2 linked regions of the Lepisosteus oculatus genome follow. The protein of the gene in region 1 binds, or shares a complex with, the protein of each later gene. Links are inferred from orthologs where the notes say so. Each region holds a gene or a part of one and is shown on either strand. Other genes may lie near its edges. The genes, in order: fmn2b and spire1a.

Region 1 (15,658 bases):
TTTTCAACATGCCTAGCATGTCATATGAGTCAGTCTGCAATTATATATATAAATTATTTAAATTTTCTTTTTCTTTCACTGTTTGGAAAAGATTATTAAAATATGAATGTGTTGGTATGGTATATAATAATGAAACCACATTGCAGTCATTGTGTTCCAGTGCATCCAAACCTACAGTAACTAACTTTTTTACTAATACTGAAAAGGTTTGTATTCTCAGATCTCAGAACATTGTACTCAGTCGTACTTGTAATGTGATGTAAAGGCAGTCTGGTGGTGACCCTCCGTGGAAACGAATGGGCGTGAATTCTGAAAACTGTTGTAACTCATGGTGTGGCTGGGAAACAGTGGTTTACAGATGTGATCAGCACCTTAGATTCATAACATTTGATGGAAAACAAAAGCACATTTTCAGTCCTTTCAGAAATGTGAATAAATGAATTACATATCTGAATATCCATTGTTCTGAATATTTTCTTCCAAAACCTTCACTGCACAAGACCCAAGCCATGTACAGTATGTGTTTTAAGATCTTGTGTTAAACAAACTTCTAAAAATATAAAATGCCATGTGATTGTGGCAGGAACAATAGACTGTATGCCAAGGACAAAAATGAATGCTTAACTGCTCTGTGGAATATCACCTTCACCTGCTTTTACGCATATATTTATTTTGACAACAGCGTTTCCAAAAGGATTTTGAACAAAGGTAATGTTAATATACCCTAGGTGGGTAAGTTCTTGATTTATTTCACTTTGAGAAACATCAGATGAAGAAAGTGATGAGAGCTGGAATTGTCTTGGCTTGGTTGATATTATTTTATGTGTAAAGGCAGTTATCTTTGAAAGATTTGTCAGATTGGATTTTCCACCTTCATTTTCTTGTGAACCATTATTGTTTTATCACAGCACATTTTAACAGCACTTTCATTTTGTATATAGTTAGCAATAGAATTTACCCTGCAATTGCATCCTTTGTAAAATAATTGAACTGACATTTTATTTAATTTCTACAATGCTAATTAATTACAGATAGCAACAGTGGTAATTTTTTACACAATCTATAAATAGTCATGTCCATTTTAATAAATGCATTTATTGCATCAGGAAGAACTGATTGTCTGGAAGAGTGTTTTCTTCACTGTGCATTGAAAGTTTGCATTTGATCTACCAAGAAACTTACTTTCCTGAACAAATGTTAAAACATATCATACCAAAAACATCAAATATATTTAGCTTCTGTGCAGTTAAAAATTAATTTAATTTAATTTTATTACAAAATGAACAGCAACTCTTTACAAAACGTTCTTGGATAGGAGAGACATTTCAGCTTTATACAACCACTCGACCTAATCAGTCCGATCCTCTTCTGAAATATATTGTATTTTGATATTCAGACAACACAATAGAATTAAGCAACTTTATAATGGCAAACGACATAGTATTATAGAGTCCATTCATCTATTTTCTAACCGCTTCTTGCCATTCAGGGTTGCAGGGGAGCTGACACCTACCGTGGCGAACAACAGGTATAAGACAGGGTACACTCTGGACAGGTGCTGTACCAGTCTATCAAAGGGCACACACACGCACCAGGGCCAGTTTTCCCAAAAGCCAATTATCCCACCAGTATTTCCTTTGAGTGTTGGACGAGCCCAGAGCACCTCGCGAAAACACACGCAAACATGTGGAGAACATACAAACACCACGCAGACAGCACGCAGGTCCTGAACTGAACCCAGGCCCCCAGCGCTGCAAGACGGGACAGTGTATATTATATTAGATTAGCATCGCTCGAAAGAACAGTAATGCTGAACATAATGGATGTGTGTTTTTTTACTCTGTGTGAGTAACAAATAAAATCACATTTTTGAGTGAACGATGACCCTTAAAGACCTTGCTTGTCGATCAGGCCCTTTTACAGACAACATACTGTAATTCTGTAATTTCTTTGATTTATCAGCTGCTTTAATTAGAAAATAGATAACTTACAGTACATTGAAGTTTAGTGTATGATTCAGTTTTCTTTTTTTTTTATTTTAAAAGCCAGGATGCATGGGAAGGCTTGTACAGCTTTTTGTATTAAAATTACATACTGTATTACTTTTTGTAATTGATGCCTGACAAATTGCATTATGATGTTCTGTAGTTGTGTGCACTCTCTGCCACCTTTATGCGGTGTCTGCCGTAATCTCAGGCTTTACAGTGTGATTTTGGTAGTCGATGATAAACTGTTTTATGTTATGATATTGAGGTTATTGAAACTTGTGCATAGAGGACCTTACAGGAATGATTTTAAAATGGCTCAGATTTATTTAAAACCTACAGCATACGGTGGGTTGCAATCCATAATCCTAGGGGGCAAACATAAATATAAACACTGCTACTATTTGAAAAACATGTTATCATTATCTGCATATCAGCTAATAAACGATTTATTCTTTTTTTAATTTGAAATCACTTTTTAATTATACACCCACGTAATTCGGAGTTGCAACTATTTTTTTAAATCTCTGATCTCCAGCAGTGACTCAGACCACACCTGCTTAGAACAGCAGATATGTAGCTGAATGAAACATGTAGACATGCGCCAGTACAGTATGCCTACCTTTTAAGTCACTTGTCTGACACACTACATGTTTGTGGTGTACCCAGCATTTCTGCCCTCATTGATTCATGCCAGCTCTGCTTGGTGAGTCCCAGTCACAGGTGGCAAAGAAATACAGTATGAGCCAGGGTGACCCTAGCATCAGCTGATTCATAAATTTCAAGCTGCAAGCGAATGTTTTAGACATTTACAACATACAGTATGCTAAGCTAAAGATAGCCAACTTCATGGCTTATTACTCTATCCCACTAATATAGTAATCAATTAGCTTTTTGTTTTAAATCTTGAAATCATGCATTTGGCAAATGACACAAATTTGATTTTAATTGGTGAAACATTGATAATTACACAATGAAAAAAGTGTTATACAGTAGGCTTTACAGTATGTCACTCAGTGAAGGGCAATGAATCTGATGTGGTTTCAGTTCACCATAAGCATTTTCTTTACTGTTTTGCTTCACTTTATGAACGTTTGTTTTTGCTTGTGTATGTTTTTCGAAGGCAGCCGCTTGTTTTAAACTTTAAACAGCACAAACATGAAAGTGTGAAAGTGAAAGGGTCAGATGCTTTCTAAAAGTGAAAGAAGAGGAAGGGAAATTGTGTTCATTTGCATCTTTATGACATAAATAATCTGAAACATTTTGCTAGACATGATGGATCACTTTAAAACAAAAACATATTTCTGAAACTGTGAAGGATGTTGTACAGTGTTGCAGCTTTTCATGTGTTTATATGCGTATTTTTAAACCTACTGGGTAGTGAAGCTTGATGTTTTTAATTTTCTTCTTTGTGTTGTTTTTGCAGTTCATCTGTTTATTAAATGCAACAAGATTTAAATTTCCCACATTATCTGTCTTTTTGTACACTGAATAGCCACATATAATTTGTGGCCATATTTTTAAACATGGTCATTTATAAATATATTGTTTATGGATTGCTTTAAAACAGCAATAAATATTTTAAAAACTGTCTGTGTTATTTCTCTTTCATCTTAAAAGCTTATATTGCAAGTTTCTTTTAAAGATATGTGCGTGATGAATTTCAAGTCACATGAAATGTTTCCAGCAAAACATATATCAGAACAGATATGGGTACCAATCGTGGCTTGGAACAAGGAAATATTCTTCCACCATCCTGGGTCTCTGTAACGAGACTGTTTTCACACCGAAAGTGTAGAGCTACACTACCACCATGACTGGGCATCCAGCTTTTTCTACCATCCCGAAGTACCTCATCTTGCCCTGAAGTAACACTGCCCCCCTTTGATTTTTACCCTGAACTTCATGGGGCAAAACCAACGCCTGAATTCCTCCAAATTGCATCAAATGTTCATACCTATTTTTTCTTTTAATCATCCTTAAGCAGTCCTCCAGACACTTACACAAACAAGGCCAGTAACAGCTGTTGTGTTACAGTACATACCGAATGCTTTTTTCATATCTACTCAAAGAAAAAGAAAATGAAGCAAACAGTTCTACATGTGTTACGTTCATGATAAACATCTTCAGTGATATCTATGGTACTTATGAAAATCTGTCATAACCAACAACAGTTTCTGTGTCCTAACAGCTGTATATATATAGTAGATGAAAACATACTGTAATTACACTATAATAATGGTTTCCATTTAAAAATGCCTGGATACAGTTCCTCTGACATACAGTACAGTGCTATTGTCTTATTTTAGATCTGGGAGTATATCACCTCATTCCCTTTGAAGACCTCTTACTCAATGTCTTGAATCAAAGCACGTCAAAAATGACTAAAGCTCTGCTGAATACTGGAATGTTCAAATTATAACAGCAGAAGATTTCAATGCAGAAGATTTCAGTAATGTCTTACTGCGAGGGTGTCCACATCATAAGTGGAAGTCTCACTTACAGTGACTTTGGGAGGCTTCCATGGGAGGCAGCCATCTCTGGCTCTTTTGTGTGCCAAGAGTGGGGACTAAGCCAAAATGGCTGCTAACAGCCCAGTAATTGAGTCAAGGTGTGGGCTGTGAAAATCAGGTTCATCTGAGGCACATTATACAGCGTAAGCCCCATGAAGCAGACGCACATGGAGTTGTAGAATCACGTTTGACTTGAACGGTAAACAGTCCACCCTGTGACTCTGTATTGTTTGTGGGGAGAAAACAAATGACCCTGCCCCATATATTGAACTGGCCAAAGGTATTGACAGATCTCCAAAGGGAGATATGATTAGTATGATTAGAAAGAACTACTTGACCATTAAAACATGGATATTGAAACTCGTCTGCGTTTCAAACTGCATAAATTAGCATTGATTTTAAGGTCAAGTGAAGCATAACGTTAAGTGTTACTGACATACTGAGTGAAAGCATTATGTTTTGACATCATGGTAGTCTCATTTGCCTGTTCAATTGTTACTGGACCTGTATATAAATACAGCTGAAAAACTTGTTGAAACCCATGACCTTCATTTATTGGGATACCCAAGAAGTTTACTATTTGCCATTCTTAAATGCTGCTTGTCTTCCTTGAAGTTCCAGAACAGTAAAATGCTGCTGCAGCAAAAAAACAAACAAACAAATCAATAGATAATTAAAATGAAACAGTCTAATCAATATTCATTGTACTAATCAAATTGGTAGAAAAACAATCAATATTGTCCATTTATTATTGGAAAGCTAGTTATCCCTGGCAAGGGATGTTGTAAGCTGAAAGAATAGAATTTGAGGTGAGACTTCACGCAGAACTGGATGCCAGTCCATCGCAGGGCACGTTCTGTACACCGGGTCCTTGGAAAGTAGAAGGAAACTGGACTCTCCCAACAATACCCTGAGTGAGGATAAGGAGAATGTGCACACAGTACACACAGAGAGTCTCCCCAGGGCATTCTAGAACTGTGAGACTGCAGAGCAGTACTGTATCCATACTTGAATAAACCACTTTTTAAATGCAACGTGCATTCATGCCTAATTATTAAATATGCAAAACTGACTGATTGACAAGCCTAAAGACATTTTCATACCAGAGGTTTTGCTGAAAGGAGGTTTAAGATCAATGTCATATATAATGTTTTTTGCATCTTTTATTATCTCCTGAGTATGGAGTAAATGACAGTATACGCAATGGGAATGGGAATGGGATGGGATGGGAGGAAAGGTCATATTTGAAGGGTACTGAAAGTGTTCAGTTCTGCTGGCTTTATTCACAGTCCTACTATTCCGTTGCTCAGTGAACGAGGAAGCAGTGTTGCTTGATGTGACTCTCACAAGGGCATTCATGCACCTTCAGCATTATTAACTGATAGGAAGCACTATTGACTGACCAAACCCTGATTAACAGGGTGTTATGACCCACGAGGGTCCATCTGAGGGATTGTTCCCACCCAGCAACTTTTTGGCTGCTAACAAGTGGGAAACTATGAAAATATTTCTATCCATCCATTTTCTATCCAATTTATTCAATACAGGGTTGCAGGGGTGCCAGAGTCTGTCCTGGCAAGCAACAGGCGCAAGGCTGGATGAATAGGATGCCCGTCCATCAGAGGGGACACACACACACAAACAAACACACACCCACTCACACCAGGGCTGATTTTCTCAGAAGCCAAGTTAGTCTACTGTACTGGTAAGAATTGTGTATTTTAATAAGGTTTCTGTCACATGCACATATTCCTACTTACAGTAAATTGTACATTCATGTCCTGTTCACTAAATATAACCAATATATACAGTATTCTCTATGTTTATCATTGGTGTTTAGTTTAGTGATGTAATTGTCCCTTTTTCATTCAATTGGCACATTACACAATATACTGCTGATTTTTTGTCTGTGAATAATATATTACTAATGGTATATGGTGAATAATTTCCCAATACAGTACTTAGTACGTTTACCACACCTTGCAGTCAATTTAGTGGTCCATGTGGCAACAAAGGACATTTCGCTTAGTAAACCCATCCAGTCATCCTTCCATTATCAAAAATCTGCTTATTCATGGTTTTCCTTGTCCAAATGTCTGGGGTCCAAGGAGGACTACGTCCTGCGTTGAATGCCAGTCCAATGACAAGACACACGCACAGGGACAATTTAAAGAGACAAATCCACCTAGCTAGCTTGTCTTTGGAAAGTGGGAAGAAACTGGAGCACCCAATGAAAGGAACCCTGCCAACAAGGGGAACATGCAAACTCCACACATAATGTACCCATGACCCCAGTTCTCTGAGACAGAAGTACTAACTGCCCTGCCACCTAAATTCTAAACTGAAAATGTTAGAGGCAAAACATGAGAAATCATAATAAAAATAGGCCTTATTGAAAATGAAGTTTTTTATTGTAAAGCATGAATCACAGTTTATTTCGAAAGTGAAATCGTTTTTATCTGTTTTGTTTAATTTTGTACTGTATCTCTAGCTGAATGCAGAAATTCAAATGATATGAAGTAAGTATACAGTAGCTTTTGCAGCAGTCCCTGTGCAGTTAAAAAATATCTGGGGTTCAGTAACAGACCAGATCTATAGACCAGTATAATTTGACAGTCCCAGAATATCTAGCATGTCTTTGCTAATTATCTAAACCAATTATTTAGAAAACTCAACATAACCTCATTTCATCCTGTTGTAAGGACTAGTCATAGTAGGCATTAAATATTTGAAAATCCTGGTGGATAAGGCTAAATGCAATGCACTAACTTTACCACACAGTGTCAGTATAGAACCAAGTTTTATTTTACCCAGCAGAACATTTTCAAACCTCTGTTGTCTCTTACATAATCACTTAAAAATTTAAATTTACATCTGACCAAGAGGTGGCAGAGTAATACATAACCTACTGTATATGACTAGCAGATGTTGTACAGTATTTTTATTTCTTGATAATGATCATCATAATGATATTGCAGATGTACAAGAATATGATCAAATATCCGCAGGGGGACATTACTGCTGTTCTGAAAGACTGACAGACCCATAATGCACAATGAGGTAAGCTTTTAGAATGGGACCAGAAAAGTGCAGCAGAAGGAGTTTTTTTTCTAGTCTACAAACTTGGCAAAACAGATACTGTATTTGTCCCTCGCTGATCTCCGTTACCTACTCTTATTTAATTCTTTGAAGAGCACAGTCTATGACAATAATAATAATAATAATAATAATAATAATAATAATAATAATAATAATAATAATTGCTTACACTTATATAGCGCTTTTCTGGACACTCCACTCAAAGCGCTTTACAGGTAATGGGGATCCCCTCCACCACCACCAGTGTGCAGCCCCACCTGGATGGCTCCAGGATGGCAATGGTATGGCTCCACAGATTCTGTAGCTCCAAGCAACTCCAGCACTCTGAGTGAAGTGTACTCCTTCACACTTCAGTCCCTACAGTGTGAACTTTGCGTTGTCCTCTGCAGCCAAATTAATTTCAATTTAGAAAAAGAAAAGTCAAGGTCTCGTTATTTCTTTCTGTATTTATTTCTGTCAATAAACTTCAGGCAGACAGCCAGCACTGCCATTAAACAGTCTGTCCTGACTCAGGGCAAAGGGATTCTCTGTCTGCTCACTCCACCGAATAATTTGGTTGTGGAAAAACTGCTTTAATAATGCACCCGGCTCTGCTGTCAGGAAACACTTCGGAAAATTGCAAACAAGGGAAAGGATGGCAACAAAAACTGGGAAGGAGAATATTTCTGTTCTACTCTGCGTGCCATGACAGTGAGTATGAATTTCTAAAAGTTTTCTTGTTTTGTCTGGTGCATGTCTTGCTGATTACACACACACATAATGTATACTGTATATGACATGTGTACAAACAGAAATAATCAGACTCTACTGATAATCTGGAGAACAAAATTAATATGACATAATGCATTTAACAATGTTTCAGGCAATAAGTGTTGCTGTAGCAGCTTTATATTCAACAAAACAATCTTGTTATGAAAAATATTAGAGAAGACCTTACACTAATTACAGATGGTTTACATATAACTTTAAAGTTGGACAATACATCATATAAACATCCAACAAGGCTTTGTTATTGTTTTTTAAAACTTTATGAAAGTGTTTTTAATAGGAAGCAGTTAAGCATTTGGCAGTAAACAAAAGAAGAGCAATACACTGTATACCCAAGTATTTGCTGGCCAGAAAATATCGTTTATTAAAAATACATGTCATTGTTCCTTTTTGAACTGCTTTCTCTATAGCTAAAGGTTCGTACTGTACACTTTGAACAAATTTGATGGCTTCTGTGATACTGAATAACTCACGATGGATGCTACTGTAGGATCAAGAAGATATGATATTAATACAGTATGAGCTTTTGAAAAAAAAAGCATTAGTAAAGTGCACAGAAGGGGGCTCTTTCACCAAACCCGAAGGCTTTTGTTCCTTGGATTTGTTTTCCCACAACTGCCTGACTTTTACAGGCAAAGGGAAAACAGGCAAAGCTGAAAGACGTGCATTACAACACTCCCCACTGTAGGGCGAATGAGCTGTTTACACGGTGCTAGCTCACAAATCGATAGGACTGTCTCACAGAGCACCGCTTCTGTTAATCCCACGACAGGTACCCGTCACGGACTGTGGAATCACGTGCTAAATTGTGGCCCTCTTCACGGATTGTGGAACCACGTGTTCAATGTAAAAAAAAAACAGCGTAAGTAGGTGTCCCGCCCCACCCTCCCAAAAAAACCTGCCGAAATTTTTAACAATGGAGGTAGACGTTGGTTACAGGTAATGAGTTTGCTCAGTTTTAATATAGCTTTCAGAATTAAGTTCCTTTATATCTAAGTTTTAATTGATTAGGCTCCAGAATTATTTATATATATAAATTGTGATAAATCTTAAACAGAAATAAATTAAAGGTTATTTAAATGTTAACATTCGTAAACTCGACCTTAATTTTCCGATGTTGGGACCAACACTTCTGACATAGCTGAAATTCCATTTTTATTGCCCAGTTAAGTATTTCTAGAGGTGTCCAGATGTTTTTACGTAACTGAATGTAATTATTCTTTGTATTTGTTCATTCAGTATTTTATTTATAAAAAGGTATACATTAATATAGGAAGCTGGACTCGCTAAACAAATATATTCTGATAGTTTGTAGTTAATGACGAGCCACGCACTGATGGCTTCCAAATCAGACTAATTAAATAAGGTATGTCTTATTTTAAAAGTTTAAATGCACAAAAAACACGTTTACTGCAAGAAAAAGTAGTCACGTTTTACATTTTAAAGTATTTTAGTAAGTATATGGAGAGTTAATTAAGAATGGTACATTATAAACTAGTGAAGGTTAGCTACAGTAAGTGTTATGCTGGTTAGAAGACATGTGATTTAAAAATGAGTCATTTCAGAGTTCATGTGATTGAAAAAGCCCTATAAATTTGAAGCCGTTCTGGTTTTATTCTAATATTGAACAGAAGGACTAAGGCAAGTCAGTTTTTTTACATAATATCGCTTTTGTAAATATTTGTAAAACTTTCTGTAAGAAATGTAAGTCGAAAGTTTACGTTTATCCTGTGAAGTGGGTTTAGTTACTGTGATTCTTAAGGTTTAGCAATTGGAATTACGATAGTTTTTACGTTTAGTTTCGAAGTGATTACGGTGTTTTTGTGTGTGACACAACGTGTTCACTTAAAGTTTAAGGAACTACGAAAAAACTTTGAATATCAACCTTAACAATTATCACTTCTGTTTTTACACATTCGTTTTTGTTATATTTTTGTTTCTCCAAATGTTTGTGTTCGACTCAGATTGTAAAATCCGTTTTCTTAGCACAGCTCTCTAATAACGCGTTAAAAATATTTTTAAAATTCAGCAGTAAAACCAAGAGATGAACAATTTACATATTTTAAACAAATAAAACTCAAAATGAAGAAATCTTCTAAAGACAGCATTTCATGCCACTATCTGTTGTTGACATTAGTTTTATTATTCAGGATAATTTAATTGCGTTGGCATCAGTATACAGTAAATAATCTCTACAGTAGTTAATACTGTATGTGCAGCCCAAACGGTGCCTTTTCTAGGGACCAGGTGTACATACAGTATGTAGTTTTAATATTTAAATTTTGTTCATGCATATGTATTTACTATGTGAAACAAACGCTGACTTGGAACGATGTCATTGAAGGGTTTTCAGTTTACTATTGCAACTAACTGGATTGATCTTTCTAATAAAAGGTTTTATGATTGTATTAAATATGCGTTGTTGGCTCATTCACAGACCGGAATTAAAAACAAATAACAGCCTACAGCTGTATGAAAATGGCGGAGAATTACTACAGTACTTTCTAAGGAATATTAAGACAATATTAAGAGCCCTTTTATTGGTACAGTACTGTACTGTAAAATGTATAATGCTGATGTTGCATCAGTAGTGTAATTTTAGATTTGATTCTGTTGTGATCAAATTAGATTATTTGTGTTGTAAGCAACATCTTCACTCAAGTTTGTTACTGAACAATATAATTTAGTTCTTTTATGTTTAGAATGACCCAAGGATTTCTGACTTCTTACTCTGTGTATTTGTACACATGCACTTAAGCATCAATGCATGTCGACCAGTGTCTCAGACCTTTGTAATCCATTTATAGGGTAGTTTTGTAATGTGAGTGTTAAATGTTGCATTTCATTTTATAACCATATTTTGCATAGTATGTGAGCTTAGTTTTTTAGTTTGTTTGTAAGCTGTTAAATATTAAATTGGATTTCCTCATCCTTATTGTGTAATGTAATATCTCTTCCTAATCCTTCAGGACGGTAGAGTGTTTTGAAAGGCAGAAGGGAGGTTAGAACCTTATTATTGCTCTCCCGGCTCCCTGGGGAGATAATTCATGCCGTGTCTTTAAACAGATGAACATGGATAGGAAAGGAAGTAGATAGAGTTCTGATGCAACATGTTAAAAACATGCTTTTTCTAAAACCTATTATAAGTGGTTATTGGTTGTCAGTATAGATCAGTTGCAGTACGTTTTGTTAAAGCAAAACTACAGTATATCACTGTTTTTCATTTGTTCTGTATGTGTTGCACACTTTTACTTTAATATTTCACAAATAAGAATTTGATTCATACAGTGTGAAAACTAAATTTCTTCAAATGGCAATCATTTTCATAAACATGCAGTATTCCTGAAATATTTTTTTCCTGAAGCAGAAATCTGTCATTCTAAATGTGCAGGGTTTATGTGTAACGTAAGTGGTTTCGCATAAAACAGTGCTGTATGCAATGCACGTTTTCAAATTTTTAAGATGTTCTTTTTTTCTTATTTGTCTTTTGTCATAGTGAAACACTGCCGGGGCCTTCTCCTGAACTATGTCTGCCTGTCGGTGACCGAGAATCCCTTGAATACATAATGCAAGCCATCCAGACAATTGAAAAGCAGGTCCCCGCTCTGAGAGAGAGCTTTTTCCGAACTCCTTTCAAAGACAGGAGAAAGAGCAGCTCGCTGAGCCTGGGGAAGCAGCACTATTGTCAGCTGCAGCAGGAACAGAAGCAGCCGGGGGAAGGAGCTGTCTGCAGACAGGAGTGCTGCACTGAGCATGTCCCTGAGGAGCAGGCAGCAAGCAGCCCATTATGCAGAACAGCAGCTCTAGCAGATGGGGGAGAGCACGCACAGGCGTTTGTTTCCTTTGCATCCGCATCATCACCGCTCTCGTCACCGGAAAGCAAGCCCGGATTACTGAGCAGGATCTCGCCGAGAGGCAAAGCAAAGAGCATCCATCAGCATGGCTTGATTGCGAAAGGAGTCCGCTTGCTGATAAACATGGGGAATCAGGATGGGAAGCTGAAAAGGGCAGCCGGGGAAAGCAGTGAAGCCACAGAAGAAGCTGGGGGGCCCAGGGAGGTGGAACACACAAAGAAAGGATTGCACGGTAAAAAGGCACATGGCAAACATGGCAAAGGGGGAGATTCCAGCAAGAAGAAATCCAAATCGGAATCTAAAGCATCCGTGTTTTCAAACATCAGGCTCCGTAAGAACCTGTCCAAGGCAAAGGGGTTGTCAGGGGGCTCCAAAGAGGATGTTTTGGAGACCCAGGCCTCTCAGCAAGATGAGCTGGACAGTGCGCTCTCTATCCAAACCAAAACCCCCGATATCAGCCTTTCCGCAGACGAGCTGGGCCTGTCGGACACAGAAGCTGAGCGGTTCCACCTCACGATGGAGAGCCGACAGGCAACCGTGGAAACCCAGGAGGGACAAAGGGCTAGCTCTGGCTCCGATACGGATATCTATAGTTTCCACTCCGCTGCAGAACAAGAGGATTTGCTTTCTGATATCCAGCATACTATTAGGATGCAGCAGGGGGTTATTATTTCAGCCGCTGAGGAGCCAAGCTGGATAGCTGAGTATAAACATGCGGGTGATGTTAAAACAACCCCCCCTGACTCTGAGCACGTTGCAGACCAGGAAGCTGCCTTTAACTGGGAGAATGGCCATGTTGGCGAGCTGCATGTTTCTCTGGACAGCGCAAGGCAAGAAAGTAATTTAACTGCAGACGTGCAAAACGGTTTAAGTGAGGCTTCAAGCAAATCTGAGAAATCCTTTTGTACTTCGCCTGGGACAAAAGAACACAAGCCCCCGAGCGAGAGCGCACAGCCTCCTGCAGAGGCGAGCGGAGGGAGAGGTGGGAGCCCTGTTGTCACGGCAACAACCGCCAACAGCGTCCCTGACCTGACCGCCTCGTTTGAAAGTGTAGAGGGGCCTGAAGAAGAGGAGGCCAAGGTGGATATTTCATCTCTCCTAAAGGAAAGTCGCGCTGAACTAGATGGGAGCCATGAAGCAGCCCTTGATTCCTCAGATGGGACTGTTGATGGCAGGGAGGAATTAACTGAATCGCTGGAACATACTTGCAGCTTGGAACTAAAAGCAGAAGGTGATGACGAAGACCCTACTGTGCCACATAGAAAAAGCAGCGTGCCCTTTTCTCAGTGGCACCCTGAAAGTCCCTTAAGTCGGTTGTTGAGGACAAGTTTGACTTCCACATCCTCCCCAACTGTCAAGCCTTACCCTCCAATTCACCCCTCTTACATCAAAACAACAACAAGACAGCTCAGCTCCCCGAACCATTCTCCGGGACCCTCGCCGTCCCAGAGTCCCTTGTTTCGGAGGCGGTACTGCGACCTCGGCCACAGGCCCGACAGGCGGAGAGTCAAGAAGCAGAGGTCCTCGAGCATAACAGGGCCGCTCAGCCGCTCGGCGGACTGGACTGATGAGCTGTCCAAATTTAGGTCCAACAAGACGGGTTCGGCAGATTACCTGGAGTATGGGGGATCAGAAGAGAGGCTCAGAGGAGGCAGCCAGCCCTTGTGCGTTACTCGCAAGTCGTCTGGGGTCCAGGCTTCCACCTGTAGCTTCCATGATGTCTTTACTGGTGAGTTTGATTTGTACAGTTTGCTCCACCGCATGAAGTTAAAATAACTGGGTATACAGTATGCTTTATTAGTTTCTTCACATCCTTTGTTTTTATCAACTCGGTAACATACCTGAAATAGCAACTACTGTATCGCACCGGAGAAGATTGTTACAGTGCCATCTGACATCATTCATACGCCGTACCTGTAGGCAGAATTGCTGAAAAAGAAAATTCTTGGGTTTTCTCTAGCGATGTCATGTGAAAGATGTTTTCTGTGTGCAATACATGCAATAATAAACCTTATTTTATATAGCGCCTTCAAAGGTGGCTTCTCAAAGCGCTTTACACAACAGCAGCAGGAGACAGTAGACGGGGGTACTGAATACAGCAGGAGCAGAGGGGTAAATAACAGAACCGGTTAAGTAAAGGCCCTTTTTAAGAAGAAGCTTTTGAATGTAGATGTGAAAGAGTTTAGTTTAGCAATGCATTCATGTTGTGCATACAATTTGTCAGAATCTAGATAACGCTTTTCAAAGATAATCCCTTTGACATGTAGTTCCACAGTGTTTCTTGAATCAATACAGTGAATTGACCTTTCCTCTTTCACCCTGCATTGCACCTTCCTTGTGTTAATCCCCCTTTCCTGCTCCAAGATACTGTAATTAAGGAAGGGATTCTTGGGATTTCCCCTTCCAGATAAACATGCAGCTTGCTTGTATTTACTACTCAGCTAGAGGCCAGTGTTTATTTGCTTTCCCTGGCCTGATAATGCAGAATAAAGCAGTGATTAGGAAATGCAGGGAAATATACATGTTTTTAATTTTAAAAAGCTAATAAAATGCAGTTGTTTGTAATATATGAAACCTTTGATGTTTGTTAATTGTAAGGTCTGGTGGAGGTAGTGGAAAAAACACAAGGATAAAGACATGCTTTAAGTCTGCAGAAATGTTCTTATTATTTCAGCTTAATTTTAATATTTATTAGAAAAGATATATGACAAAGCTGAATCTTTTTTTCTCACATAATTTCTATGGTTTTCTGTTTTGGGGGGCTCCTGTACTACAAAACCGCCTGCTCAGCAAGCTTTGCTTCTGTTTTTCTGTACTAAACATTTTCCTTTTTAGTAGAGTAGTAGCTCTCTTTTCTGTTTGGTTACTTGTGGAAATTCATGTCTAGAAAGTACAATTGACTCTGCCAACAGTGCAAAATAAAAATTGGTACTTACACATCCTATACATGGTTTCTGCTCTGATCTAGTGGAATATTTATTTCACTTGAAAACCCTGAAGGCCTAATACAAAATCAAATGAATGTGCCCTCTCTAAGTTGTAGTGTAGAGTCTATGGACTCATAATTAGTGGGCTGTGAGCTCAAGTCAAAGACAAAGTGAGGAGACAGCCAACCCATTACTTCAGAATGAATAGTGAAACCGCACCAATGAGGTGGAAACTACGCGGAAGTGCATGAACTGTAAAGCAATGAACAGGAGGCACTTCTTTACCTAAAGCGGCATGGGTGTATGGAACAAGGTACCCAGTCATGTCATAGAAGCCAGTACTCTTGACTTCATTCAAGAAATAGCTTGGTGAGGTTCTGGGATCAGTTAACCAGTAAATACCAATTGGGTAAGATGGGGCAAAAGGCCTCCTTCTCTTCGTAACCTTTGTGTCCTTCAGTCCCTCCTGTAGATACGGCTGCAGTACCTTGATTAAGGGAGTTTACCTCAGG
Region 2 (15,080 bases), on another chromosome or scaffold:
AATAGATTTGCCATGCCACAGTTTGTCAATTTGATCATCTATTTCCGCACCGAATCATATTCTTCGAAATATGAAGCAAAAAGAAAATTACAAATCAGATGTTTTCAAGTTTCAAATTTAAACCCAGTCATGTGCACCACTCCTGAAAATTCCAAGTCCACAGGCAAATGTGTTATTACACAGACTCTAGACATTGGTTTTAGCTGCTTCTGAACTTAAAGGTGTCTCCTGATATGTTGTTAATAAATTCACAATTCACTCACTTCTTTTCTTTGTGAATGTCTGAGGTCTTACATATAAATCATCCCACACAACACAGGCAGGTATTCGTCTTAGAAATAGGGTTATATATCGGATACACAGGGCTAGGATTATAGCTGTAGGGCCCCTGACTCAAGGCCACCTAATTCCAGCATGTAACAGCCTGGGATCAAACTGGTGATGCATGGATTTTAGGATTTTGCCTCCACTCCAGACAAGCACAGAAAGACAAATTCAAGTTCTTCTTAGACTTTCAGAGCCAAATTCAAGCAAACAACGAGAACTGGAGCAGACAACCAGCTGCTAATTATACAAACCAAATGATGAGAAAAGTATCCTTGAGCATTTCTTGCAAACTAAATAATCATCTTCCTTTGTGCAAATTATCCCAGGGTCTCGGAATCTTGACTTCATTCATTTCAGTTGCTTAGATATTGACTCCATGTCTGTGATCACTGGACTATCCTTCTGCATTGCCTGTTGCTGTTGGCTTTAACATGCAATGCATGTTTCTCCGTCTGTTGAAGAACCGCAGTCCTCTTTGGAAGCCTCTTTCATTTCCAGAAATACACATCACAAGGTTAACTCCAGCCAGGACAGAACAAAGACACAGAGAAACTCTACGGTGACACTAAAATCAGGGCCGCATTTTCTGGCAAATCGAGGGTATTGCCAAGCTACTCCAAGCGCTGGAATGTTGTTATTTATAGTTCTTCTTAGAATTGTAAGTCTTTTGTGGTGCAAGCAGACGAAAGGGGCTACCTCAGCCCCTCTTTTAATGTTAGTGTCTAATTGCTCTAAAATATAGTCAATGCCAAACTGGAGGCTAATGGAGGTGGTAAATAGCTTCAGGGATGTCTTAACGGCATTTGGCATATGGAGAGCAAGCTGGGGTATGTGAAAAGACAAATTCCTAATGCAAGAAATTGTATGTGGCTAATAAAGTGAGTGTAATCTTAATTTACCGGAAATTATAGTGATTGAATTATTTTATACAGTGACATTAACTTACCGACTATTTCAAGCTGATAGAACGTTCACTGACAAAATATTTTGATATGCAATCCAAAGATCCAGATTACACCACAAAAGAAGAAAAGGTCTTTCTGGTCAGCCCTGATCCTCCTGCTCTGCCCTTGGGAATGCTATCGCCTGGGAATGCTGCACACAGCTCTTACTCACATAGGTTTGCAAATATTTCATTTACTCCATAACTCACGACATAACCTAATGCATATAAAACACCCGAGGACCTGATCAGAAGTAACACTCTTAATAATAAAGGGAATGTTCCAAGTGATCAGCTGTAAAAGACATTTGAAAACTCATAAGTGTCTAAATGAGAAAATAATTAGGTTATGTGACTACAGAGGTTGGCACACCAACCAGAAGACACCTGGCCCTCCAGGAATTCTGTCTGAGACGTGCGTTTTAGAGAACACACTAGAAACGGCAGAGCTGTTTTGAAAACGCAATGATGAACAACGTCATCGTTTAACCCGTGCTCCAAGACCTGGAGAACCGCTAGTGTATGATCTACACATAAAAGGCATGTCAAAACTGGACCAGGTAATTATTAGCCACTGAATCGGACTTCTGTTACATCCAAGGTTACTAAAAAGTAAATGGCATTAAATTACAGGATCATGAAAACATATAAAAATAGGATCCTAGAGGACCTTCAACATAGATTTGTTTTTAAAAAAACAGGTAGGCTTTGCTTAACTAACTTGCTAGAGGAATTTGAACAAGCAACAACAGTATCTTCACGTACACATGGAATGCATGATTTTCATTACACTTTTTTTTCCTCGATTTTGACACTCCAGAGGTCACTAGTGGAAACTGTGTAGGCGTGCATTTAAAAACAAGAATAGGAGGCATCGCTTTACACAAAGGGTTGTGGGAGTATGGAACTGACTGCTCAGCCACGACTCTGAAGTCAACATTGTACTTTCTTTCAAGAAATGGCTGGATGAGATAATTGGTGCAATTAGCTACTAATTACCAGATGGGCTAGCTGGGCTTGATTGGCCTCCAATGGTTCGTAGCCTTAATTATGTTTAAAAAATAGAGTAAACCAACTGCTTAATCACTATCGGAATTTAAGAAACTCTGTCTCAACATGACATTGATTACCATTGAAACATGTGGAGCTTCATGTAAGTGGCTCAGCCATTCGTCAGTAAGGAAACTGCAATAAACCGTATGAACCACACTGCACTGTAGTTGCATATAGCGTCTTGGCACCATCTTCTTTAATATCATCACTTGAATGTGTAAAAGGCAGGTACTGATCACCCTCAGAGGAGAGGAGAAGAGGACTAAAGGAGAGCAAGCATCGTTGGAAACAGTTAAACCCTCGCATCAGTGCTAGGATAAAACTAACTAATGGTGCATTTCCTACAGCTTTGCATAGAACAGAGACCCAACGCCTCAACTCGTACAAAAACAAAGCTATCAGGATTCAACTGGACTCTCAGCCACCACTGGCCAGACATGAAAGTGTTAATTATGAAAGTGATGAGATACCAGTCAGCCTCCTAAGCAGCATTAAAACATGAACTGTCTACTGCACCACTAAGTATCTTTTTTTTTACATTAATTGAATCAGCAATACATCATTCCACATTAAATTAAAAGGTGCTTGAAGTGGACTGGCACTGCGCCCAAGAATAGCCGCAACAACAACAGGGCCAGTAAGCAACACTGTCCAGCCCTGTGTCCTCAGAAAGCACTGACAAGGACCAGCTCTTAGAAAGCTGACTGTCATTTATTTTGCTGAGCACTGAAGGGGAAGGCAGATGCACATGAAGTTCACAGCACAATTACAGTGCACGAGAAACACATTAAGACAAGCAGTCCAAGCATGCGTGCAACTTCTTAACTCCATCTTTAAATACTGTCCGGTATTCATGAACTTTGCAGACTACTGTGGCTTGTGAAAAACACCATCACTGCTGATACAAGTGCTGTACGCAATGACACTTCCTTGAAGTCCATCAGTGGCTCGGTGATGCAGTAGGCTGTTAGATGCAGGTAAGGCAGACCTAACACATGATTCGCAGCACGTTTTCATACCGGTTTACATCGGTAGTACTTGGATTCTAAATCCGTGTTGCACTAAAAGCACAAAGAAAAAGAATTCAAAAACAGCTGTGTCTGGCTAGACAGAAACCTGTATGCACCATCAGCTGACAAGCGCATACTGTATACGGCATGGCTGCTCTCTCTCATAGCGCGATGGTAAAACAAAAAACTGGACTGCCCGTTTTCCGAAATATTTCTCTTTACCATTTTCCTTACACAACACTGTCTCGGAATGTGGCTGGGGGAGAAACTACCACATTCTGTGGTTTTTCTTCTACTGCACATGACATCAGCCAAACCTGCTCAACAGCAATTATAACATAATAAGGCGTGACAGCTTTAAACATCACAAGGTATGACATCTGCTCAAATCAATATTCTACTTTCAAAACCTAAAACTACACCCGAGGCTAATTTTCAAGACACTGGGGCGTAGGGATGCGAAACCTCTGTAAATAATAGGTTTGTTTTTCCTTTCTTCAAATAACGTGACGTTTTAAGGGGAGGGATACTGCTGTCAGCTTTTTTACTGTCAGGTTTTTTTACATACCGGCAGACAATACATGACTGATGAATAGGGCCGTTTTGAAGCAAGTAAGCCTCACGCCTTCAAGAAATACGATTGGCATAATAAGGAAAATGAACAATGAGACCAAAACAAAACTAATGAAATACTTAAGCATTTATGGTTAAATCCCCGTCAACAGACTTAAATGGTTTTCCCAGTATGTTGGAACGGGACATGTTTTTACTGTAATGAAATTTTAATTGAACTGAGATACGGGACCTCAACACGAAAGACAACGCCTGGGACGCGTGTGGTTTTATTCATTAAAAAGCTCCTAATGCTCATGGGTGTCAAATATTTAATTTGACGAAAGGGACAATAATCTTTTATATATATATACACACTCTCGCACCCCTTGTCTTTATAAAGCTACACTATACAAACGCGAACAATGGAATTTTATACTTCCTTCATGACAGCAAACTCAACTCCAAGAATACACCTAACACCGGTAAAAACACCGTAACAGCGACTTTACACTCTCACCCTCGAAGAACAATGATGATTGGACCCTTTGTCTCAACGTGCGAGGTGACCCCAGCTGGATCGATCACGTGGTCCCATTGTTTACGACCAGAGCGCCACCGACACCTTTGCCACCCACCACCACAACCGGCCCGTTCGGGACCAGCTGGTCGGAGTCCATCTTCGAGAATCACACGAAAACTTTTCATTTTGTAATGTCTCATCTCTAAATGCTCCGGTGGCTCTAGGGGCGTGTAAATTGGATAAAGCGTCTTTCTATTTTTAGGCGCTGAAATGACATGCATGATAAAAAAGGGGGGGGGGGGGTTTCTATGGTTTTGCTTTTTTTTCCCCCTCAACCGGAACCGCTCTTGGCCCAACTCCAGCTTTGCTCGTGTTGCGTAACTGTGTAAGTTAATTATTTCGGTTGATTCTCGGCTTCTACAGAAACGGGGTCCAACACGTGAGAACTCGCTGCGCCTAGCAATTTCAGCGCGGTTGTTATAATTAAAACAACCCGTTTCGGCGCACTGGAACAATGGCTGGACCTATGAGGCGATGCGGTATCCCCGAAATACATTCATTTTCAAAATTTCGAGAGCCTTTCAATTCAACTCGGGGCCGATCTAAGGAATGGTGTGGGTGTTATAGGCACCGAAGTGCATTGCAATTATCTAATCATTGCACGATCCGATTTCATGTACAGAAACGTGGCGGTATGCACAATATTCCTCTCAATCCAAACCACAGAAGATGATTAAATGCATCTCACGGGCACCGACCTAAACAGTAACAGCCAAGGTGTAACTATGACGAGGTATGTCTTCAACCCAGCTATCTTGCTCACGGTTTTGAACAACATCAATAACACGAAGGACGACGCTTAGGAAGAGAGGTTTACCTGAGCCTCCCTGCCTGTGGTGCAGCCTCACGGCTCCGTCTTTGCAGATTCGGACATCAGCAGCGCCTTCAATCCTCCAGGCTCGCCCCTCGCCCCTCGCCCCGGCGCTGCTCCCCCGAAACCCCTGAGCCAGGGTCCGGCAGCACTGGTAACAAACGGCCCACGCCTGCTCCTCATTGATCGGCTGGCTGTAGAGCTTCAGAATCTCCTCCAGAGACAGCTCGTCGGCACCATCGCCGCCTTCCATGTTTACATCCCCAGAAGTCTGCTCATCACTGCCCGGCTGCCGAAGCGCACCCGCGGTCAGCCCTTCCTTGTCAGCGCCTCGCCTCTCGGCCATCCTCTCATTATATCCACAGGGAGAGGTTCCGCCGACACTGCGCAGCGAGGGATGCGATATACGGAAGAGCTCAGACCCTTAAGTCATCGAGAGCCGTGCTAAATCTCTGCCCTCCCACAGTAATTCCATTGAATGGCTCGTTTCTCCCCCCTTCCAGCGGTTTCTTATGGGTTTCTGTCATATGACGAAAGTTAGTCGCATGGTCCCAAAACCAGACGGGTTCCCAGCCTAGCGCTCCGAGCTCCAGGCGTCATCAATCACGACGCGGACAGGTTGTGCTGAGACGACGTCGTGCGGGAGACGGCTGTTATGTTAGGGGACGCGTGTTTTGTAAGTCAGCGATGTCTTTAAAGTATGTGAAATGTCGCCTTATGTGAAGATGCAAGCGCTCGGTATACAATTCATAGGGGGAAAAAAAAATATTTATAAGCGCGGGGAGATAACGGAGCGGGTTTTCGTTTTGGACTCCCGAGTCTCCCTTTTTCCACCCCGTCCATCGTCGGGAAGCCGCTCGCTCTCGGAAGGGGTCCAGTCGGCCGGCACCCTGTGCAGAAAACAAGCGACAGCAATCTCGACAGGACGACGCAAGTCACGGGCACACGGGCAGTTGTAGAGACACCAGTTAACTTAGCCATCGTGTGTCTGAGAGGAAACCGGAGCACCAAGCGAAAACCAAGTGATCTAGGCGAGAGCATTCAAACTCCACATCAAAGGTGCCCCAGTCTTAACTTGAGCTATGTTCACACAGCGCCGGATTTGCCAGGCTGTTTTTGCAAAAATAGTGGTTCTCAAATCAGTTCTTGAAGTACTCCTGTGTCTTCTGAATAGTCATTCTAGCTCAGTTCTTAAAGGGCTAGGCTAGGTGATCTCTAGCTGTTTAAGTTTTTTTTTTAAGGAATTGAATGGAGTTAGGAATAAGTATAGACCCCGAATCAATCTCTAAGTTTCACACCAGCCCCTATCCAGGTAACAAAGGTAATTGGACTACTGCACAGCGTATACCTGTTTTTCTGGTGGAGTTTTTGATAGTCTTTCCCAATTAAGAGTTGCTTGACAGAACAGTAGCAGCAGCTTGGCAGTAATTACTTAACGAGCCGGTTGAGGGGTGAATAGATTGAACAGAACAGATGATCCTGAAGCTTCTTCACAGTGACAGACCTACAGAAAAGCAGTTCAGAAACCCAGGTAGAAATAGTGCAGTAAGAAGCTGAAATGGTGTCGGTAATCAAGTTCAAGTGAGATATCAGTTTATCATCGTGGGTAAGAGGTCATTTGAAACAAACAGTGGAAGACACAGCGTACTCTAGTCCTGGGGGGTGTTTATAATAAGACTTCTCACCCATGATCAAATGAAACAATAGCAGCTCTTTCTTATACTAGTGATTACCCTACACCTAATCACACTGGCCTTGTGCAGTGTGCAGTGGGAACATCCAGAGCACAAGAAGGAGCTGTGACAAGAGCCCATGTTTGTGAGACGCAGAGTAGACCAGGGATGGCCAGCTCTGGTCCTGGAGACGCACTCCCCAGTAGGTTTTATGGATTGCTCCTAGTTTTTTAAGAAACCTTAAAACAATTGTGACTGGAGCAGGAAATCCGTTCATTTCAGCAGTTCAGAGATCACATAAAATGACATTACCAATACCCTTTTACCCTCAGGGATTGCAGTTACTCATTTCTGATTTACCTGAATCAAATTTACGGGATGGTAACTGTACAAAACTCAGGTGTTCCGAGTTTTTCCAGATTATTCATTTAAGGGTTGACCTGCGGTTTGAGGTCTCCAGCACCATACACCCTTCCAGTAGAAAATGTGGGCCATTGGAACAGGAATATTCAACTTCCAGCTGATCTGCACTATTGCCGTGTTGATTCTGATAATGAGAAAATAATTAAGATTACTTTATTGGCCGTATACAATTTCCTGTATTAGGAATTTGTCTTTTCACATACCACAATTTGCTCTCCATGAGACACACAGACAGGGAGAGAAGCTTGGGATCAGAGCGCAAAGTCAGCCATTTATACAGCGCCCCTGGAGCAGTTGGGTTTAAGGGCCTTGCTCAGGGGCTCAACAGAGTAGGATTCCTCTGCCGGCCGCAGGATACAAACTGGCAACCTTCCAGCCACAGGCGCAGATCCTTAGCCACAGAGCCACCGAACTACCCCAATTTCTTTTTAAAGAGCTGCTTGCAGTCAAACCATGTGATAGAGATGATTGGAGGTCCTGCAAGGTGGATTAACTGTATTATGACCCTACAGGACCAGGACTGAGCTCCGAGTTCAACTCCAACCTGACCCACCATCTGTGTGGAGTCTGCATGCTCTCTCCAGGTTTCCATGGGTTTTCTTTAGTTGATCTAGTTTCCTCCCACATTCCAAATGCAGGCTTTCCAAATTTAATAGCACCACTAAATTGTCCCCATGTAAGTGAGTAATCTAACTTGCCCCAAACCCCTAAAAATAAAGAGATTCTTAAAACTGGTTCAGTGATTGTGGTTTCTCTGCAGTCACATCTAAACGAAGATATTAATTTATCAGAATACTATTCCTTTACATCCGTGACCTCTGAATACTGATTCTTGGTATGTGTCTTCCTTGCAAATTCGTTAGTTTAAATGAATTGATCCTTTGCTTCAGTGTTCTTTGAATGAAGGGAGACATGTTAGCCTCGACAAAGTAAATTTAATCATTTACTTCTAAACTGTAAATATTACAGCAGTAATAAAAAGAAAAATACGGTCAATTTAAGATTGTGTTCCGATTCCTTGACATGATTCCCAATTCTATGAGAAATGTAATACGGAACGTCACAAACTCTAGTGCATTTAAAATGCAGTGAGACTCGAAAACACGGAGACATGGACTAGCGCAAGAAAAAATAGACCAGACCTAAAAGTGACACTTTTACACAGCGCTGTTTAGTTTATTTACACCTAGCTAGCTCGTCTTCTACCTCTCCTCCGGGTTCACTACAGGCTTCAGTGCGCCCTCTGCTGGAATAAAACTATATGACTTGAAGACCCTGTAGTTTTGGGAACCGTAGTCTGAGCTCGGGGTTCCAACTGCTAAGTACGCTGACTTGTGTGCTATGTGGCTAATGAATGTGTTTTGATCTCTGGAAAAAAACACAGCATAATTATTTAAATTATTGCTAAAATTTGAAAAACACGTCAACGAGGATACCCCAGATTCTGTCAAGAAGGGGCTGAATGGGACTTATTTTATTATGAATGGGTTTTAACTAATCCATAAATTACTAGAACCTAAATAAATGGGCTAGATGGGGCCCAGTGGCTTCCTCGCCTTTTTAATATTGAAGGTCTTCCTTAAAAAAATGCCTGGATGTACTTAAAAGAAAATTCTAATGATTGACGCCTTTTTCTAATCAAAATCAAGTGTTACCCTGAACAAATCCCAAGAGTTTTCCAAAAAAAATCGACATAAAGCAGAGGAATCCTCTATTAAAACATTAATAAATAATACTTTAGTGATATGTATACAATATTTATATTTCTCCATTTATATCAATAAAACCCACATGTATTTTACCCTGGATTAAAATTGCACTGTACTTTGTCTAAAAACCATATGGATCCACCTAAAAACTACAAAATACAAGCCCAGTACGCAGTGTGTTTCCTCGGGATGGAAAATCTCTACAGAACAACCAACCATCACCATCCCATCAGTTATTGTGCTCATAGTTTGTACTTGGTAGGTCAACCGCTGATTCAGAAACATGAGAAAGGTTACAAATGGAGGCCATGCAGGCCATGTAGCATGTGTGGTTGTTAGCACTCAACTGACCGGAGGAGCTCATCCCACTGTTCATGGAAAGAACCCAGGAACTTCCTTCTCCACACCCTCAACCACCACCTGTCACGCCCTCTGCAGCCAGAGGGCGCTCCTTCTCTGTCCTGTCCCTAGTTTCCGGTCTGCTGTCCTTCCTGTCCCTCTCTTTCCCTTGGTCTATATATTTCCGGGTCTTGCACTCTGTCCTTGCTCAGCATTGACGTTCGGATGTCCTGAGACCCGCCTAGCACCAGGGCGCCCCACGTCCGCTCCTTGAGGGCATAGGTTTCTATACGGCATTCCTGAACTCTTTGCACTAATGAGCCCGGGCCTTTTTCCCGTCTCGCCGCTACGCATATGGGTCTTTTTCCGCTCTCCTACTCCCCACGGTTAGTCCCCTTGGACGTCCGTGACACCACCCTTCAGGTCAAGAAGTGCCTCCTGTTCTCAGTTTGAAATGCACTCCCACTAAAGCTGCAGTTCCACAGTCTCGGCGGCGCCTGCGAGTACAGCGTACGGTACGCCTCAGGAGGTAAACCCAGGCGATGGCCACAGAGAGACAGGCCCCCGTCTGTGCTGTCTCGGTATGACACGGACACCTGTGCGTCCCGATCCCTGCTGTGATCACACTGGCTGGGAACGTACCAAACTGACAAACCGCACGAAACCCCTCTGCAGTCTGAGGACGCCACACAGCAGAGATGTAAGAGCCACTAGGTGGCGCTTTGAATATCCTTAGTTTGAGGGGTAAGACCAGGGTGCAGTGTGAGGGAGGAGAGGCAAACCTCCATTAGTCCATGAACCTTTGAGTGGGAATCCAGAGAGAGGGGGTCTTCAATGGGAACTGGTCTCAGGAATTTTGTCTTGTTACTTAAGTGGGATAAAACAGGGATAAAAAGAGGACAGCCTTGCAATTCAATTCAAAACCATTACTGGAAAAGATTAGTCAACTGAAAATGGAATTGTGTACTGGGTAATTTATTACTGACTTTTACTCATATTTTATTTAAAAAAAATATGAGTACACTATAAATTTATGATTTTGGCAGGTCACAAAAACTCCTTGTTATACCTATCTATATGTATTTAGATATTGTTGATTTTTTTTATGAGTGTGGCAGTTAATGATGCCGTCTCACTGTTCTTGGGTCCTGGGTTTGATTTCCAGACTGGGGAATTGGGTGGTGATAGTCAGCCCCCTCATCCTGTCCAATACGGGTCCTGGTGTTCCCCTAAACTAATGAAACAATACTGGGTCCCTCTCATTAACCGTTCTTAGGTTCATCCATTTTCTAACCACTTTATCCTATACACAGGGGAGCCGGATCCCAGCAAGCCACAGGTGCCAGTGCAAGACATACCCCTGGACAGGACAAGTCAATCACAGGACAGACACACACGCTCACACCAGGGCCAATTTCATCAGAAGCCAATTAAGCCACCAGTATATCTCTGGGCTGTGGGAGGAAACCACAAAACCTGGAGGAAACCCATGTGAGCACGTTCAGAACATACAAACTCCACACAGACAGCAGCCCAGAAATTGAACCCAGGGCCCCAGTGCTGTGAGGCAGCAATGCTGACCTCTGTGACAACCTCTTATGTACCACAGGGACATGTGTGGGTAAAACAGGAGAGAGAATTAAGAAACAATGGTTAACATTCTTCTAAATGATTCGGATCTGTGATGGGGGACATTGTCAGTGAACAGCTTTAAAGTCCCATGGAATAGATGATCCAACAACTTTAGTCTTTTCATCACACTGTCACGTCTGGAAGTATTACAGAATATCAGCAGTTTTCTCAACGGGAACAATGGCCAAAATCAATTAGATCAAACCTTTGCAGGTTTTACTGGTTTCATTTCAGCTGGCAAAATATCGAACAACCGCATTTTTTAAGAAATGGAAAAAGTGTGTGTAAAACCAACCAGCACAACTTCTTTTTAATGAATTCGGCTAATGCTCATCTGTGATCTGTGTGGAATACTGATTGATATCTCTGCATGTGCCCTTCAACTGCCAGATGAAAGGATGATGCCTAGCAATTGTTTTAACTAACAGTGCTGGCAGTTTTAGCTTTAAATTTCAAGTGGTACTTGCTGTGGAAATGTTGACTCGTGTTAGTCCAGTAGCTAGGTAACCAATTTTAAATGAGGAAAGAAACAAAAGCTCTCTGAAACTCCTCAAAAGTTCACTGACGATTGACATCATCTAGTTTAAGCAGAGCCATGGTGAAAACAAAAACTCAGATACGAACATACATTAGCTCAGATTTCATAATAATAATGATGATGATAACAATTAAATGTTAATGCATCTGCAGTTCGTAAAAAGATATTAACTCGTTAATTCCACTAGGCAGAGAACATACAGATTAAGCATCATGCACAAGTCTAAGATCAAGGCACAACAGTCCTGTTCATCGCTAAAGGAACACAAAGCACTTTTAGAATGATGTTCTAACTGTGCCATCAGTACAATGAAAGGCATTGCATCACCTGGAGAGGAATCTGACAGCCATCCTGCAACAGTAAAGTTAAACAGCAACATAAATATGTGCTTATTGCAAATAAGAATGGATGAAAATATTCTTTTTATAGGCTAAAGGTAGGGAGTGCTTTATGTGAAAGACGTTTTCATCAGCTTTCTTCAAATTCGAACACATCCTTTTATGCCTGATGTTATGAGCAGTTTAAGTTTTCTATTAATCCAGTATGCACTATTTGTCCCCTAAGTAGATTAAAACAGAGTTTTAAACTACTTTACGTTCTCCACATCTCAAAAGTACAATATGCTTAGTGTATCAAGCAGTTATGTCTGGCCATTGTGCACCATCTGCTTGCGGAGGGAAAAGTACACAGCTTTCTATCTACAATTTGTTCTTTATTCCAAAGCAGTACCTGCAGAGCTTTAAGCAATCACGAAGCGCCAGGGGAAAGCAGGTATGAGTCACCCATCTTGAAAGGCTGATCATGTTGCTTCAGAAGCTAAAAGAGCAGTTTGCACCACACTGATGGGATTGCAAGTGAAAAAGGAACATCCAGTGGTAGAAACACTTCATTGGATATATTGTCATAACCTGATGTATCTGCAGAGTGGCAGCTGATTTTTAACTTAAATGTTGATAATTTTATAAAAACCACAACATTCCACTGTTTTTTAACACATCTCTCCATCATCATCATCCCATTCTGGTCCACAAACAGGCAGTATATCCTGGGAATTTGCATCTTCGGAAACACTCAACAGCACAGCTCGATGAAGCAAACAGAGTCACTGCTTTAAGGAGCAATCCTCTGCCATTTTGTTACTCCATTTTGGCAGGTTCATGCTCCACCACTGACTTCAACCGGCACAAAGAAAAATAGGATTGAGTCTTGATTTTTTTTTTTGGTTGTACATTCTGTTTTGACTGTTTAGACCTGCAATTATTTTCAAGAAATTCAGCTTCATAAATACGCTATGACTCCACACTCCAGATGCTTACAGATGTGTTGAATGGATTGTAGTAAACTACGGAAGGGTGTTTATTAACCAAAACTGCCTCTTTCGAAAGTAAACAATCCACATAGGCAAGGGAATGCTTGTCGTGACCTGCTCTTTCTGTCTTAATACATTTTCATTACGAAGGGAATCAAAATGAATTTTTTAAAAACCCGTCAGAAAAGTTTAGAACAAGAAAAGATCGTTTAGCCCATCTTTAATAATAATAATAATGTTTCTTTATTAGCCCTATACAATTTCTTGCATTAGGAATGCGTCTTTTCGCATACCCCAGCTTTTCTCCAGGGAGACACAGACACAGAGACAGGGAGAGAAGCTTGGGGTCAGAGCGCAGGGTCTGCCATTGTACGGCGCCCCTGGAGCAGTTGGGGTTAAGGGCCTTGCTCAGGGGCCCAACGGAGTAGGATTCCTCTGCCGGCCGCGGGATTTGAACCCGGGATTGTTTCAGGGATTTGAATTTATATTGCTTCCGCTCAGGGGCTCACTTAGGAAGAACTTTCAGCGGACGAACTCGATGACACACGTGACAGAAGGTTACCGGAAATTGATTGGAGAAAAATTTGGATGATGCCCAATAAATATTGTATAACCAATAAAATTAAGGAGGTTTCATACCAAATAATTCATCGAATTTACCCAGTTAAACCTCTTGTTACCCAACGATTTAAAAGTAATATAGATGACAAATGTGTTTTTTGTGACAACAGCCCTGAAACTATTCAGCATTTGTTTTGGTTATGTCCCAGGGTAAAAATGTTATGGACTAAGTTGCAGAACTATATTAAAAAAGAGACCAATATTGATATTTGTTTTGTTGAAAAAAGATGTTAAGTTTCAGCCCCAGTGAAAACAATATTAAAATTTCGTTTGTAATAAATGTAATTATTATACTGGCACGTTATCACATACATAAAATGAAGTGGTCTGGGAAGTACCCTGTGTTTGAGTATTTTAAAATGGAAGTAAAGGGGTATTTGCAGACTATTTCGAAATGCAAAAATTTGAAAGCGGTGCGGACATTGTTTTTTATTTAATTTGTTCAATCTTTTTTCATAACTTGAATTTATGTAGTAGTATGTACCCCTGACGATATTTTTGTTTTGAATTGTTATATGTACTCTTGTTTGTATTGTAATTTTTGTTCTTTTGTTAAGCATAAATAAACATTTTTTTTTTAAAAGACTGTTACCGGAAATCCACAAGTTTCGGCCAACAAATGGTTAGTCGCCTCAGTGACGTTTTTCCGGGTATTTATAAGGCTCTTAGTGACGAACGCTCTTCTCCTCCAATCGTCGCCGATCCCAGCCTGAAGCCTGTGACGTGTTAATAGACAAAGCGGACAGGAAGTGGGTGGAGCCAGACGGGGGGAGGAGTTTGTTTTTTTTTTACATTTCCTCATTCTCTCCTGTGTGCGGTTGCAGCGTTTGCAATCGTGACTGGAGACTTAGAAAAATAAGAAACTGGCGATTCCGTATCGAGTGGGTATGTACGAAAATATATTCAAAATAAACCTAACGTATTAGTTTTTATCCACAAACAGTTCTACAGGCCTGCGATTTTCCTCTGTGCCAACAAGTCCTTTATATCCTAGAAAAGCTCGTAATTATCCATCTCCCTGTTAAAATGGATTTTATAAAGAGTGTGATGTGATTGTGCAGGGCAGCAGAATTCCACTTCATTTTCATTGTCTGTTATCGTTGTTCCAGTTAAGTTTAGCTACCATTAATAAAGGAATAAATGTTAATCAGGAAATTAAAACCAGTTTGAGGTTAGCCAAATTGAAGAAATGAAATGTTCCAAGCATGATTTAAGAATGGCGTCATTTATGTTTCTATAACCAATGGATAATGTGCAGTTATTTTCATTTTGTATTGTAGTTTATATTTGAAAACAAAGCTTGTTCATGAAAGCAATAATGCAAATATTTTCATCTTTTTTACATGCTCCACCCACACATATCTGTATACTGTATATTATATTTTTTTGAAAGCAGAATTTTAATACATGAACCAGTCCATCACTATCTCAGTCGTCTTGTAAATATAAAATGTCTGATACCAACAGGTCGGTCGAACATTAGTGATACGTGGATGATCTGCTCACTTCCTGGCAGCAGACAGAAATCTTGAAGGAATCTGAAGCCGTATCATTCCG

Evidence for each region.
Region 2: the proteins of fmn2b (region 1) and spire1a are in contact, whole or in part, in a crystal structure (PDB 2YLE), measured with the Homo sapiens proteins. The link is inferred for Lepisosteus oculatus from reciprocal best matches to the Homo sapiens genes FMN2 and SPIRE1. Residues at the interface, in NP_064450.3 of Homo sapiens: Ser1702, Leu1703, Lys1705, Ile1706, Lys1707, Pro1708, Arg1709, His1710, Gly1713, Ile1714, Lys1715, Lys1717, Ile1718, Lys1721, Thr1722; in NP_001122098.1 of Homo sapiens: Gln51, Pro52, Ile53, Asn54, Glu127, Ile131, Tyr134, Lys135, Asp138, Leu141, Lys142, Glu143, Asn144, Glu145, Glu146, Arg147, Glu148, Glu154, Ile157, Asp158, Ala161, Asn162, Thr163, Val164, Glu165.

Annotation. Positions count from the first base shown.
Region 1 is NC_090712.1:16,473,020-16,488,677, reverse strand, and holds the start of fmn2b (formin-2), read left to right. Parts: upstream 1-9,247; 5' UTR 9,248-9,281; coding exon 9,282-9,304; intron 9,305-11,861; coding exon 11,862-13,948; intron 13,949-15,658. UniProt on the Homo sapiens protein: Actin-binding protein that is involved in actin cytoskeleton assembly and reorganization. Acts as an actin nucleation factor and promotes assembly of actin filaments together with SPIRE1 and SPIRE2.
Region 2 is NC_090705.1:7,903,848-7,918,927, forward strand, and holds the start of spire1a (protein spire homolog 1), read right to left. Parts: upstream 5,826-15,080; 5' UTR 5,626-5,825; coding exon 5,286-5,625; intron 1-5,285.